Canis lupus familiaris: one gene and its partners. The protein of the gene in region 1 purifies or fractionates together with the protein of each later gene. This does not show direct contact. Links are inferred from orthologs where the notes say so. Each region holds a gene or a part of one and is shown on either strand. Other genes may lie near its edges.

What was found.
Region 2: the proteins of tubulin alpha-1B chain (region 1) and CCT6A purify together in Homo sapiens (affinity purification with mass spectrometry; 3 studies listed by BioGRID and IntAct, counting the BioPlex papers as one, with this or other methods). This does not show direct contact. The link is inferred for Canis lupus familiaris from reciprocal best matches to the Homo sapiens genes TUBA1B and CCT6A.
Region 3: the proteins of tubulin alpha-1B chain (region 1) and HDAC6 purify together in Homo sapiens (affinity purification with western blotting; 4 studies listed by BioGRID, with this or other methods). This does not show direct contact. The link is inferred for Canis lupus familiaris from reciprocal best matches to the Homo sapiens genes TUBA1B and HDAC6.

What each region holds. Positions count from the first base shown.
Region 1 is NC_049248.1:41,187,137-41,191,255, forward strand, and holds the start of tubulin alpha-1B chain, read right to left. Parts: upstream 2,874-4,119; 5' UTR 2,629-2,873; coding exon 2,626-2,628; intron 1,209-2,625; coding exon 986-1,208; intron 846-985; coding exon 697-845; intron 316-696; coding exon 1-315. UniProt on the Homo sapiens protein: Tubulin is the major constituent of microtubules, protein filaments consisting of alpha- and beta-tubulin heterodimers. Microtubules grow by the addition of GTP-tubulin dimers to the microtubule end, where a stabilizing cap forms.
Region 2 is NC_049227.1:457,620-461,820, reverse strand, and holds the start of CCT6A (T-complex protein 1 subunit zeta), read right to left. Parts: upstream 2,857-4,201; 5' UTR 2,762-2,856; coding exon 2,625-2,761; intron 2,171-2,624; coding exon 2,107-2,170; intron 292-2,106; coding exon 157-291; intron 1-156. UniProt on the Homo sapiens protein: Component of the chaperonin-containing T-complex (TRiC), a molecular chaperone complex that assists the folding of actin, tubulin and other proteins upon ATP hydrolysis.
Region 3 is NC_049260.1:42,207,964-42,212,254, reverse strand, and holds the start of HDAC6 (histone deacetylase 6), read right to left. Parts: upstream 2,817-4,291; 5' UTR 2,800-2,816; coding exon 2,623-2,799; intron 2,533-2,622; exon of another isoform or gene 2,514-2,532; intron 2,458-2,513; exon of another isoform or gene 2,318-2,457; intron 1,901-2,317; coding exon 1,778-1,900; intron 1,698-1,777; coding exon 1,569-1,697; intron 1,432-1,568; coding exon 1,343-1,431; intron 43-1,342; coding exon 1-42.

The DNA of each region.
Region 1 (4,119 bases):
AAGGCGGTTGAGGTTAGTGTAGGTTGGGCGCTCAATATCGAGGTTTCTACGACAGATGTCATAGATGGCCTCATTGTCTACCATGAAGGCACAATCAGAGTGCTCCAGGGTGGTGTGGGTGGTGAGGATGGAGTTGTAGGGCTCTACTACAGCTGTGGACACCTGGGGGGCAGGGTAGATGGAGAACTCTAGCTTGGACTTCTTGCCATAATCGACAGAGAGACGTTCCATCAGCAGGGAGGTGAACCCAGAACCAGTTCCCCCGCCAAAGCTGTGGAAAACCAAGAAGCCCTGAAGACCCGTGCACTGGTCAGCCTGTTAGAAAAAAGGAATAGAGAAAACCTATTACTGCTCTTTGCTATATCATCATAAGTACACAGATTTCCACTTTTCATACAGCTCCAAGAATATAGATCTTATTTTGACAAGAAATGCTTTTAAATACATGTAGGCCTTCCTAGACTTTCTAAGCATTTCTTAATTAAAAATATCTTCATTAGTATTTGTAAAACAGCACCCAAGTAGTTCAGGTTTCAATTGAATTAAAAAAAAAAACAAAAAACTGTAAAGGAGTAGTTCACCTCACTCCATTACATTTCAATTCTGCATTTGAAATGAAAAAAACAAAACAAAACATCGTATCTCAAATGTCTTCCTTCGGATCCTTATTTACTTTATTCTTGAGAATAAACATACCAGTTTCCGAATTCGGTCCAAGACAAGGTCAATGATCTCCTTGCCAATGGTGTAGTGCCCTCGGGCATAGTTATTGGCAGCATCTTCCTTGCCTGTGATGAGCTGCTCAGGGTGGAAGAGCTGGCGGTAGGTGCCAGTGCGAACTTCATCTGGAAAAGGAAAACAAGGTGGCCACCCATCACTAACAACCTGCATGACCCTGCTCAGCCCCAGGCTGTCAGTGGAGCCTCAGACAGACCTCCTGCCCCAGTGCCCCGGGAGCTCACTTGGGTTACTGAGGCCAACTCACCAATGACTGTGGGCTCCAGGTCTACAAACACTGCCCTGGGCACATGCTTGCCAGCGCCCGTCTCACTGAAGAAGGTGTTGAAGGAGTCATCTCCTCCCCCAATGGTCTTGTCACTTGGCATCTGGCCATCGGGCTGAATGCCGTGTTCCAGGCAATAGAGCTCCCAGCAGGCATTGCCGATCTGGACACCTGCCTGGCCAACGTGGATCGAGATACACTCACGCTGCGGAAAAAACAGATAAAAATAAAAATCAGTCTTAAACTAATCTAGTAATGACGGCAAAGCAGAACAAAATTCATGTCATTTCTACAAACTTCCCCTTCTAAAACTAGTTAAAACACAATACTTTTAGATCTCTAGGGGGGAGAATCCCTTTGCTTTTTGCTCTGCATCGCTTTTAACGAATTTCTGTTCCCCACCTCTATTGGGAAGGCCCTTTTTTCCAGAGCAAGAGAGCTTAGTCACAGCTTCCTCCTTTGGAGGATGAAGATAGATAGCCATTCATCCAGGGCTCGGGCCTCTGAATGCCATTTTAGACTGGGCAGCCAGATTTCCGGGCAGTTCCCATCACAGGAAGCACGTGGCCAGAGCAGTGCGGAGGAAACGTCTGGCTGCAGGGACAAAGGGCGGGGCTTTGCGGCACAGGATGAATGAGCAATTCAGGGAGTGCGCGCGCCCGCGCCCCTCTGCGGCCGGCGGGGCCGCGCAGCTGCAGAGACACGCCGCAGCCACGTCTGCAGAAGGTCTGCCTCCGCCAACCCTCTTCCGCTTCCCCAGGCGTTGGGCTCAGCCCAGCACCTCCACATCTGTCTGGGCAGGGCAGGGGATTATCGGCGGCCCAGATCTGGAGCAAGATCCGATTTCCGTCCCCTCGGAACGCCTCACCGCCACCACCTGCTCCTACACGCATTCCTAACTCATACCGAGTTAAGGACAGATGGTCTCTAGAAGCTGCTGGGAGCTAATTGTCCCGATACCCTGACGTAACGCAGCACACTGACAAGGAGCTGTTCTCCTCCACATTCATCTTACGGCTGTCGTTGAAAGAAAGAAAAAAATAAATAAAAAAGGAAAACTCAGGCTACCAGGAGCCACGCCCTACAGCGGCAGGCCCGCAGCGACCCGGCGCGCACGCGCAGACTGCAGGGGCGGTCTCCCGCCTCTCCCTGTGGCGGGAAGGTAACGGTCGCGCGTGCGCTTTTGTGTCCGGCTCCTTCCCGCCTCCGCGCTCCTGGCAGAGGAGGAAGTGAGGGCGTGCAGAGCCCGCGCGCGCGCCCGCCAAAAGCGGGGGAAGGAAAGGGGGGGATGGGAACGCGCGGGAAAAAGGCTGTAGGGTCTCGGGCCGCCGCCGCGCCCCAAGAGGTAAGGGCGAATGGAGAACCCCGACCACGGTCTCGGGAGCCGGCGCCCGGCCATCCTCTCCCACAGTCCGAGACGAAAACGCGGCGGCCCCCCGTCCTGGCCCCAGCTGTTCTCACTGCTCCCGCCCTCGCCTCGCCTCTCGCCTTCCCAAATCAGGGCGCTCATCTCCGGCTGGCGCCCCCTCACCCACCCCCGCCCCCGCCCCCGCCCCGAGACCGCCAGGCTCGCTTCCCCCGGTCTTCCAGGGCAAGGGCGGCGCCCCGAGCGGCCCACTCACCATGGTGGCTGCGGGGTAGCAGGCGCAGGCGACAGGAGCAGACACCGGGTCCCGGTTACCGTCCCCGACAAGCTAAGAGTCGAGGTAAGTAACGCACTGAGGCGGGGGCGCCGCCGGAGCCTCTTAAGTAGCGGTCCGGGAGGGCGGGCGGGCCCGGGCGGTGCCACGGCCGCGGGCCCCTCCTCCCGCCCGGCGCGCCCACTCGGCGCCCGGCTCGGCCGCCGCAGAGGCGGGCTCCTGGCCCAGGGCGCCCCCTCCCCCCGCCCCCCCCCCGCGCGCCGGCCGTGCGGGGCGGGGTCCGCCGCGCCTGCGGACAGCGAGCTCGGGTGCTGCAGTCTGCGGCGCATGGCTGCCGGGGCCCGGGCGGGGGGCGGGGGCGGGCGCGGGTTCGCGAACCAGCACGGGGACGGGAGAGGAGGCCTGCCTCAATTTGGACGAACCCTAAGACTTAAGAAGTCCGTACAGCGTTAAAGCTGAAGCACCATGAAATGCAGAAATTTCTGGTCCGGATAGCTCAGCTGATTATTTTCAGGTTGCTACAATTTGTCAGTGAGTCTCGCCTTTTTTTTTTTTTTCCCCCTTTTCTCAGCTCCTTTAAAGGCGGTGCAGTCTTTACTTAACCTGATAATGTGGAGGATGCAAGGTTTAGAAAACAGACTCGTTTTATTTGCTTAATGACTTGCTCGTTAAACTAAGGTGGCAGACGTTGGATGCAAAAGCATTTGAGTCATTCAGAGAGTAATACCTAAGTTTGAACATCGCAGCCGTTAAAAGGGCTTCCTAGGCCCCGTGTTTAGGCATAACCAACAATTTTATGGAACAGTTCCAGGGGCTTTCAAAAGGGAAATCCAAAGATACATTTCAAATAGGAGAGCTGAATTGTAGAAGTGAGGGCAGAAACTTGGATAGTGAGGAAATTGTTGACACTGAAGGATGTTAGGAAGTAGGGAAACCTCGTGTTATTTAGAGCTTTGCAAAAACTGTATGTAATAACTGCTTTCTGCTGGTCAAGATAGATCAGTTGATTATAGCGTCCATCTAGGAGGCCCAGATTATAGTGGATATCCACTCCCTCCCAGCTCTGCCTTTGAGGAGACTATTCCATGACCATAAAGTATATAAACCCTTAGAAATGCATAAAGTGGTTAGTTAGGGTTAAAATGGGGCTTTAAAATGGGCCTAGCAGAAACCTATTGCTGTTACGCTGCTCCTCAAAATCTCCTCCCAGTGATAGTATGTTAGTAAAGAAAAAGTAAATATAAAACAGTAATAATTTACAGTTTACATTCAGTTATTACCTTACTTAGACTTGGTAAAAACTTCACCCTTCATATCAGACAAATAACAGATTTACACTGTTAATATGTCTGTAGTTTATAAGGAGATATATATATATATACATACACATATATAGGGATATATATACATATATGGATATATAAGGATATATGTATGTATATATATATATAAAGATATACACACATACACAGATAC
Region 2 (4,201 bases), on another chromosome or scaffold:
TCTGTCCAGGATCACAATAAACTTGTATTAAGACCAGGATATAGGCTCTGGTTCCTAGATTTAAGCCCCCTACTCTTTACCTTGTACTATCTGGCCTCAGCTACTATTAACACCTCAATTTATAGAAATTTCCGGCAACACAAGAATCATGTATACTTCAGAAATGTAGAGATCCGCCTGTTTCAGTAGCTCTCCAATGATTAGGACATTGGATGTGGTACCATCACCAGTTATGTCATCCTGGGCTGTTGCTACTTTGGCTATTAGGGAGGCTGTTGGGTGTTGAATTTGCTGAAAGTGGAAAAAAAGAAAAAAAAGAATTACTTCAGTGAAAATACTCCAAATATACTTTAAAGCATGTGAAGGGTCTCCTTAAATGCATCGATTTGCATAAACTGCCCAAGTGTTCAGCTATATACCATGCTGATTTAAAACTCACTATTAACTATTTTGTATATCAATTTATGATAACCCAAATATTTTTACATATAGATTTGAGAAGATTATCTCCACTTTACTGATGAGGAAATCTGAGGCTTACTGTTAAGGTCTACTGAAGGTAACAGAATTAACAGTAAGAAATAATTTCAAATCCATGCATGCTTCTTTAGGACTCTTGGGAGAATAAACCAGGTTCCTTCTAAAATTAAACCCCAGCAGCCTCCAGTATTACTTGGAATTGAATAAAAAAATAAAAAGAAAAAAGTTCTCTTTTAGAGCAAAGATCACTAGTGACAGCTAAATCACTGAGAGGTTTTTAAGAACAGGATATGCACTGTATGCCAAACAATGCTCCCGAACTGTTTTTAGTTTTTAAATCTCCTTATTCTCCTGTAATCCAGAAGAGTTCCACAACCTTTTGTTTTTAGGGAAACTGACAGTTTAAGAATCTAGGCCAGATATTTTGCAAACTATCTCATTTAAATTTGTAGATGATAAATATATTATATGGATAATACTGTATGCTTCTTACTGGGTTCATGTGCTTCTCTGAGTATCTACTGTATTACACAATAAAAAACTCAAAACACGGGGGGGAGGGTCATTTCCTTTACTTGGTTTTTAAGTGCTAGATTTTGGAAACTTAGGGATGAGTAAAACAACTGCTCTTCTCAACAGTCTCATACCCTTGGTCAGTGGGGATTTAACAATTAGAGTAGGGATCCCTAGGTGGCCCAGCGGTTTGGCGCCTGCCTTTGGCCCAGGGAGTGATCCTGGAGACCCGGGATCGAATCCCCCGTCGGGCTCCTGGTGCATGGAGCCTGCTTCTCCCTCTGCCTATCTCTCTCTCTCTGTGTGACTATCATAAATAAATAAAAAAAAAGAATTAAAAAAAAAAAACAATTAGAGTAAAGCAGAGTTTTATCTCGCTTTCATTTAGAGATGGGATGTTGACAGAAATCACCCTCTTAAAGAGAGAAAGCAAAACCATTTTGTACCTACCTATATCAATCGCTTTTTTTTTTCAAATTTTAATAGTTAATTTAAACTACAATCCCTTTTTTTAAAATCTATTATTTATTTATGATAGTCACAGAGAGAGAGAGAGGCAGAGACACAGGCAGAGGGAGAAGCAGGCTCCATGCACTGGGAGCCCAACGTGGGACTCGATCCCGGGTCTCCAGGATCGCACCCCGGGCCAAAGACAGGCGCTACACCGCTGCGCCACCCAGGGATCCCAAGATTTTATTTATTTATTCATGAAAGACACACAGGCAGAGACACAGAGGAGAAGCAGGCTCCATGCAGGGAGCCTGACGCAGGACTCGATCCAGGGACCCCAGGATCACGCCCGGGCCAAAGGCAGGCGCCAAACCGCTGAGCCACCCAGGGATCCCCAATAACTAACAATCCTTTAACCACGGATTTACATGGCAAGATTAGGGCTTCAAAAAGAAGTTACCAGACTCCAGGGTTCCTCCTGGCATTGAACTGTCACTACGATTACTGATTCTATTCCTTTTCTACTTCCTCCATGGTCTGAAAGACCTGCTGAGCAATGGTGAACTTCTATCTTGAAAATGAACATTAAAAATCTTCCTGCAAATCACACGTGATATGGAACACCAAGACATTTTTGACTTAGCATACCAAGCGGCCTCTCACCATTTCATGAAGCAGCACATTGCCATCTTTAGTAAGCTTGATGTCTCCAGCACCAGACACGAGCCTGTTCAACGAGCACAAATGAATCAGTGTGACGTTCTCATCGGAGACCTAGTCCATAGTCCCACTGCAGTCGGGCTTCACCCAGATCCTCGGGAGTTGGGGCCACGCGGCTGCTTCTCTGCACCCGGCAGGCAACAGGAACGGTGCAGCGCCCCGCTCTCCCTTCAGAGAAACAGCTGGCCGAGCCCTCGGGGTCTCCACGGCGCGAGCCGTGCACGCAGGCCGCTTTGTTCTCCGCAGAGGCGGCATCAATTAGAAGGGAAACGGACTGAGCAGGGCGCGGGGGCCACCCGGGAGCGTGCGGGCCGGCAGGGCGGCTGCGGCGAGTGCAGAGGCCCCGGCCGGCCCCCCTCCCCCGGCCCGCGGTGCCCGCGCAGCCCATTTCCCCTCCTCCCGCCCTCCTCCGCCAGGCTCGCGGCGCCCTCCCCTCCCCCCCACCGCCAACCCCGCCTTACATCTTCATGGTGCCCTTAGGCCCCAAGTTGGTCCTCAGCACGTCCTGCAGCCCCCGGGCCGCGCTGATGTTGACCGCCAGCGCCGCCTGGGCGCGGGCCACCTCGGCCTTGGGGTTCAGGGTCTTCACGGCCGCCATAGCCGACCAGCGGAAGAAGAGGAGGCTCGGCGCGCTGAGGGCCCGCAGCTGGCTCGGCGTGGCCGGGAGGCGCTACCCGGGTCTTCTGGAAAAGTCGGGCGCGTCGCCACGCCCCCAGCGTGCCCGCGCGCCGCTGCCATTGGGCCGCGGCGCTACTGCCCCGCCCCCGAGCGCCCGCCCCGCCCCCCGCGGCCGCGCGGCGCCGCCATTGCGCCCGGGAGGGCCCTGTTCCGGGTCGGAAGGGCTCGTCGCGGTCCGGCGTGGCCGCCGGCGGGGTCCGGCTCTGCAGCCCCGGGACCTGAGGAGCGAGGCGGGGCGGGGCGAGGCCGCGACTGCAGAGTGAGCGTGGGCCGCTCTCTCCTGGAGGTCTCTGGCCGCAGGGGTAGGGTGGGCTTCCTCCTCCCCGTCGCGCGTGTTGCCCTGCTTCCTCCCCTTGCTTCCTGCCTCGCCGTCACCGGCGTTTTCTGGCCTCCCTACGGTGTGCTTGGAAGGGCTCTCGGTGCTGCGGGGTGCAGAAGTGCACCTGCTCGGGCCCCCGCCCGCTGCTGTCGGTGTTCGGAGCCCAGGGAGGGGAAGATGGCGCGCAGGATGGAAGGTGCTTAGGGCCTTTTTAGCGAGCTTCGGGGTTGGTGCACTGGCGGCGCGGGACACGCTGCTCCCAGGCAGGTGGTCAGACTCAGACTTGCTTGAGTGGTGGTCCCCGTGCTTTGAGAGGGCTCTGTTTTAGTACAAAATTCCGAAAGGTGTGCAGTTGTTTTCTAGTATCCAGTATTCACCACCCCCGTATTATTCAGTAATGTCTTGTGTTTCGTTTTTATAATAACGAAAACCGTTAGAATTCAAAAGTTCCAAAGGGTGTATGATGAAAAGCACGCCCTCGTCCCTCTAGTTCGGCTTCCTTCAGACAAGCACAATTACCCTTAGATATTCTAATTTCCCAGGTGATTTATGAATTTATAAATGTGTATAGTTAAAAGCATTTCCCCCCCACACAAAATGTCAATTTAGAATACACAGTGATGGGTGTACCATACTTAAAGTATGTTGGTGATTGTACCGTATCAATACAAATAGGGATTCCGCATTAACAGCTGCCTGATATTCTTTGTAAGAGTGACAGAATTAACTTGTCATACACCGGTTGATATTTAGGTTGTTCCTAATCTTTTGCTATTGAAGCTGCAGTGAATATCCTGGAATATGATGCTTTTAAGTGGCTTTGTATATTTGAGAATCTCAACAGCACATTATAAATCTGATTAATGGCATTACACAGGAGACTTGTGCTTATCTTACTTGGTATGCATGCGGATTTATTTACTGTGCAGATGTGTGGGAGATATGAGCAGAGATGAAGATTGGAATTTTCAGGCATGTGTTTGCAGGTAGGAAAGGGGAGTGGATCTCCTGAGGTGCAAATTTAAAGGGGCACCAAAACTC
Region 3 (4,291 bases), on another chromosome or scaffold:
TGTTCCTTGATGGCATGGAGCCGCTCAGGGCCCTCAGGAAAGCTGGGTTGACAAGACATACAGTTACACACCCACACACACACAGACTCTCTCTTCCCCCTCTAAAATGCAATCTTCCCAGAGGCAGGGGTTCTGTTTGTTTTGTCTACCACGGCATCCCTAGCTCCTCAGGAGATGGCAGACATGTATTCGAGAATGAAATCTTTTGCCATCATGAGTCTTCTGTTGGGAGAGGGGACATACACACATAAGTGTGATAAATGAGCAAACAATGATATAGACTAGGAAGGCCTCCAACAGCAGGTGTGGGGGAAGGGGAGCAGACAAAGACCTCTTGGAGCAAGTCTCCTTGAGATGGGAATGTTAACTGGGTGAGGAGGAGGTGGAAATGAGTTTCTGGAAGAGGGGGCCAGCCAGGGTAAAGACCCGAGCTGACAGAGTGCCTGGCGATGCTGGAGGAACAGCAGGGGGACCAGTGTGGGTGAAATGAAGCTACGCGAGTGACTGGCTGATGAGGTCACTGAAGTGGTGTGGAGCCAGATCACGTGGTATGTTATAGGCCAGAATGAAGAATCTGGACTTTACCTTGAGGGCAATGGTATACCCTTGAAGGATTCTAAAAAAGAGAACAGGACTCTAACTAATGTAATGCAGTATGTCAACTATACTTCAGTTAAAAAGTAATTAAAAAGAGAGAGACAACATCATCTCACACGTATTTTGGTTTTCTTTGGCTGCCATGTGGAGAACAGACAGCAGGGTGAGGGTGAAAGCAGGCAGCCAAGGAGAAGGCCTCGGCCAAGTCTAGGTAAGTGATGGTGGTGGTGGCAGTGGAGGTGGTAAGGAGAGGTCAGGTACTGAATACATTTCCAACACAGAGCCAAAAGAATTACAACATGTGTGAGCAAATGGGAGGTATAAATTCTTGCATTTCTGCATGAAATATCCTTTCTTCAAGGAAGCCTTCTGCGAACCCCGGAATGCTAGTCTAGGGTCCTCTATCAAACACTCTTGAATCCCCTAGTCTGGGGTTATCCTTCGTTAAATACTTCACACTGCTGTTGGCTGTTTAATGATTTGCTCTCCTACTCAACTAACAGCTCCTAGAGAAGGGGCCCTGTCTGTCTGGTCTGACATGTCTGTATCACCAACTCCTGGAACACAGTGCATACTCAGGAGGTGTTGGCCAAATGAAAAGAATCTTTTCAAGCCTAAGCCTCCCCACTTGAAATCATCTGCTGCCAGTCTCCAGGCTAGCATAAGAATGGCTTCGTTCTTGCTAATGGGCTCTAAGGGCATTTATTTTTGTGGTTAGGGTACCGTCTGGAGGAGCCAGCCTCACCTGTCATCCCAGAGGCAGTGGAATTCATTTAGTTGCTCATCAAACACCAAGCCAGTGCCACAAAGTGTCTTGGCCTCAAGGTTCAGATCCTGCAGGGAGAAAAAAAGGGGAGAAACCGATCCACTTTGGGCCCGAGTCAGAAGGAACACACACTGTCCAGGAGGGAGAACCACAGGATTCTGATTGTCACAGGAAGCTAAATCCATTGAGCCCAGGCCACTCTCACCAGCCCTTGCAGGCCCACGATTAGGTCTTGCTCTGCTGCTTGGCTGAGCTTCTTCATTCTGCCTTTCTTCTTTACCTCTGCTAGACTAGGGCTGGAGTGGCGTAAGGCACCCTTCTTAACACCTCGCTTCTGCCAAACAGAGAGAAGGGTCAGATTCCAGGGCACGGCCTACTGCTCCTCCCCCCCATCAGGCAGGTTTGGGGCCTCACCGAGGTGACGCTGGAGTCGTGGGGGGGCGAATGGGGGTTATGCCTACTCCTTCGCTGCCTGGTTGTGGTGGAATCCTGGCCGGTGGAGGTCATGGTCGGGGAGACTTCACCCCTGATGCGGCTCTGGGGGGTGGGGTGGCGGTGACTACGAACAGGCTGGAGTGCCCTGAGGGCCTCCCAGACCCCGCCCCCTATACAGTCTCCATCCCTTCTGCTATCCTACTCCCCACCGCCTTCTAAACTCCACCCCTTTCAAGGCCTTCTCCTTCCACTGGGGTGTCCATTCCACCTGGTCCCGCCCATCCCAGTAGGCTCCACCCCCTTAACACTATTCTTTCCCCTTTAAAAGTCTTGCCCTTTCGCGGAGCAATAAGTCCCCAGGCTCAGTCCGTCCTAGCGCCGGCCCTTTCCAGCTAATCACCGCCCTTTCCGCTCCCCCAAATCACATTCCCAGACTCTTTCATTCCTCCAAGCCTCGCCAAGACCCCACCCCTTCACAAATCTGCCCCTTCCAGCTAATCTCCCAGAATAATCACCCACCCTTTCACTCAGCCAGACCCAGACCCCGCTCCGGCCCCGACTCCACCCTTAACGATCCACTTAACTCCACCCCTTATCAGGCTGGACCGACACCTTCCACTTGGCCAGATCCCGCCCCTAACGTTTCAACGAGCCTCGCTCCTCGGGGAACTGCCCCTTTCCTTCCACCAGATCCCACCCCCTGCTCAAACCCTACCCTCAAGCTCCAGCAAATCCCTTCAGCCAGTTTCAGGCCGCCTCCCACCAGTCCCCTCCCCCTTCCGACCCCACAGCCGACGCCGACCAATCCCTTCGGCTCCACTCACTGAGCGCAGCCCTTTTTTCAAACTCCGCCCAGGGCTCCCGCCGCCAAATTCCTGGCGACCTGCGGGACGGCGGGTGCTTGAGGCCCTCTTTTCCATTGGGCCGGTCTCTCTACTGCCCGCCCCGATCCGCCTACACTGTGTGTCGGTGCTCAGGGCCGCGCCCTTCAGGCGGGCCATACTTCCCGCGAGCTCACAAACGCCGTGGGTACGTCAGCGCGCGACGCTGGCTGTGCTGCGCCTGCGTGAAGCGTGCCCCCGCGGTTCGAGGTGGCGCTCAGGCTCTAGCCCGCCCCTCCCCCAACCACCGCCGCTGCCGTCCTGGCTCCCGTGGCCGCTGTCTCTCGATCCTTGTCCGGTCACCTTAGGAGTCCTCCGGACCCGCGCCAGTTGTCCTGTACGATGACTCAAGAGAGCAAACAAGCAAGCGAGGGAATTAGGAAGGGGCGGTTTCTTTTCTCCCGGTGGCTTCCTGCGCGGCGCGCTGTGATGACGTAGCGCGGGCGGGCCGGCGGCAGGGCCCCGGAGCGCGGTGGATATTGGAGGATGGCTGGTGGTGGCCAGAATGGGAGTGGTGACGATGTTAAATGCTGTGAGGCTTTTCCGAGTTAATATTCACTAAGGTGGCCCACAGGAAGCACTCACTAAATGTTAGCTGCTGCTATTCTGCTGGGAATATGGTTGGTAGGATGGAAGGAGGTTTACTGAGTGCAGTCGTGATGATAGCAAGTAATATGTGACAGGCACTGTCGTAAGCCACAATTCTGTGAGGTAGTTCCTATTATTAAGGCTGCTTTGGAGATAAGGAAACTGAGGTTACACGACTTAGCCATGTGACCCTTAGCAAGTTGCTGAACATCTATGTGCTTCGGTTTCTTCATCTGGCAAATTGTGATAATAGTGCCCGGGGCTTGAATAGACTCATGGAGAGTTTTTCTTGGATGGCAGTTCTCCCTCCAGCCCTCTCCATTGGGTAACCTCTGCCCCCAAGCTGTAGGGAAAGCGTGTGCCTGGGAAGTAGGGGGAGTTGCACCCGTGTGCCCCTCCAACTCCCTCACACCCCTTGTCTAGATGTCTAAATATCAGCTCCGCAGGAGGCCGGTTTGTCCTCCTAATCTCCCTCTCTCATTCTTCACCATTTCCTACCGGGCTGTAGGCTGGGGCTGAAGAGATAAGCGGTCTGGGGTTCAGCATGCTGACTAACAAATAGATTGACAGCCCCACCACCCAGTAGCCTGGCCCTATGACCCTTTAGAAAACCCCAGTTCCACCCTTCTCTTTCACTCTTTTGCTACCAGAACATGGTTTTGTTTTGTTTGGTTTTATTTTTTGTCCCAGTGGAAGAGGATCAAGTCCTAAGACCTTTAAACCTCCACATGCACCAAAGAAAACATGATACACACTGAGGAACATTCTGGGGTTGTAGTGCCCTCAGAACAGTAGAGTAGGGAGCACCCGGTAAGACCCACGGCCCATTTTTCTGTATAGTCACAAGACAGATTCCTGAAGAGCAGAGGTCAGTGAACTTTTCTGTAAAGAGCCGGATAGTAAATATTTTAGGCATTGCAGGCCACATAATGGTCTCTGTGGCATATTCCTTCTTTTCCTTTAAAAATGAGACTGGTTGAAGTCTGGCTTTGTCCTAAAGGCTATAGCTTTTTGATCCTGCTAT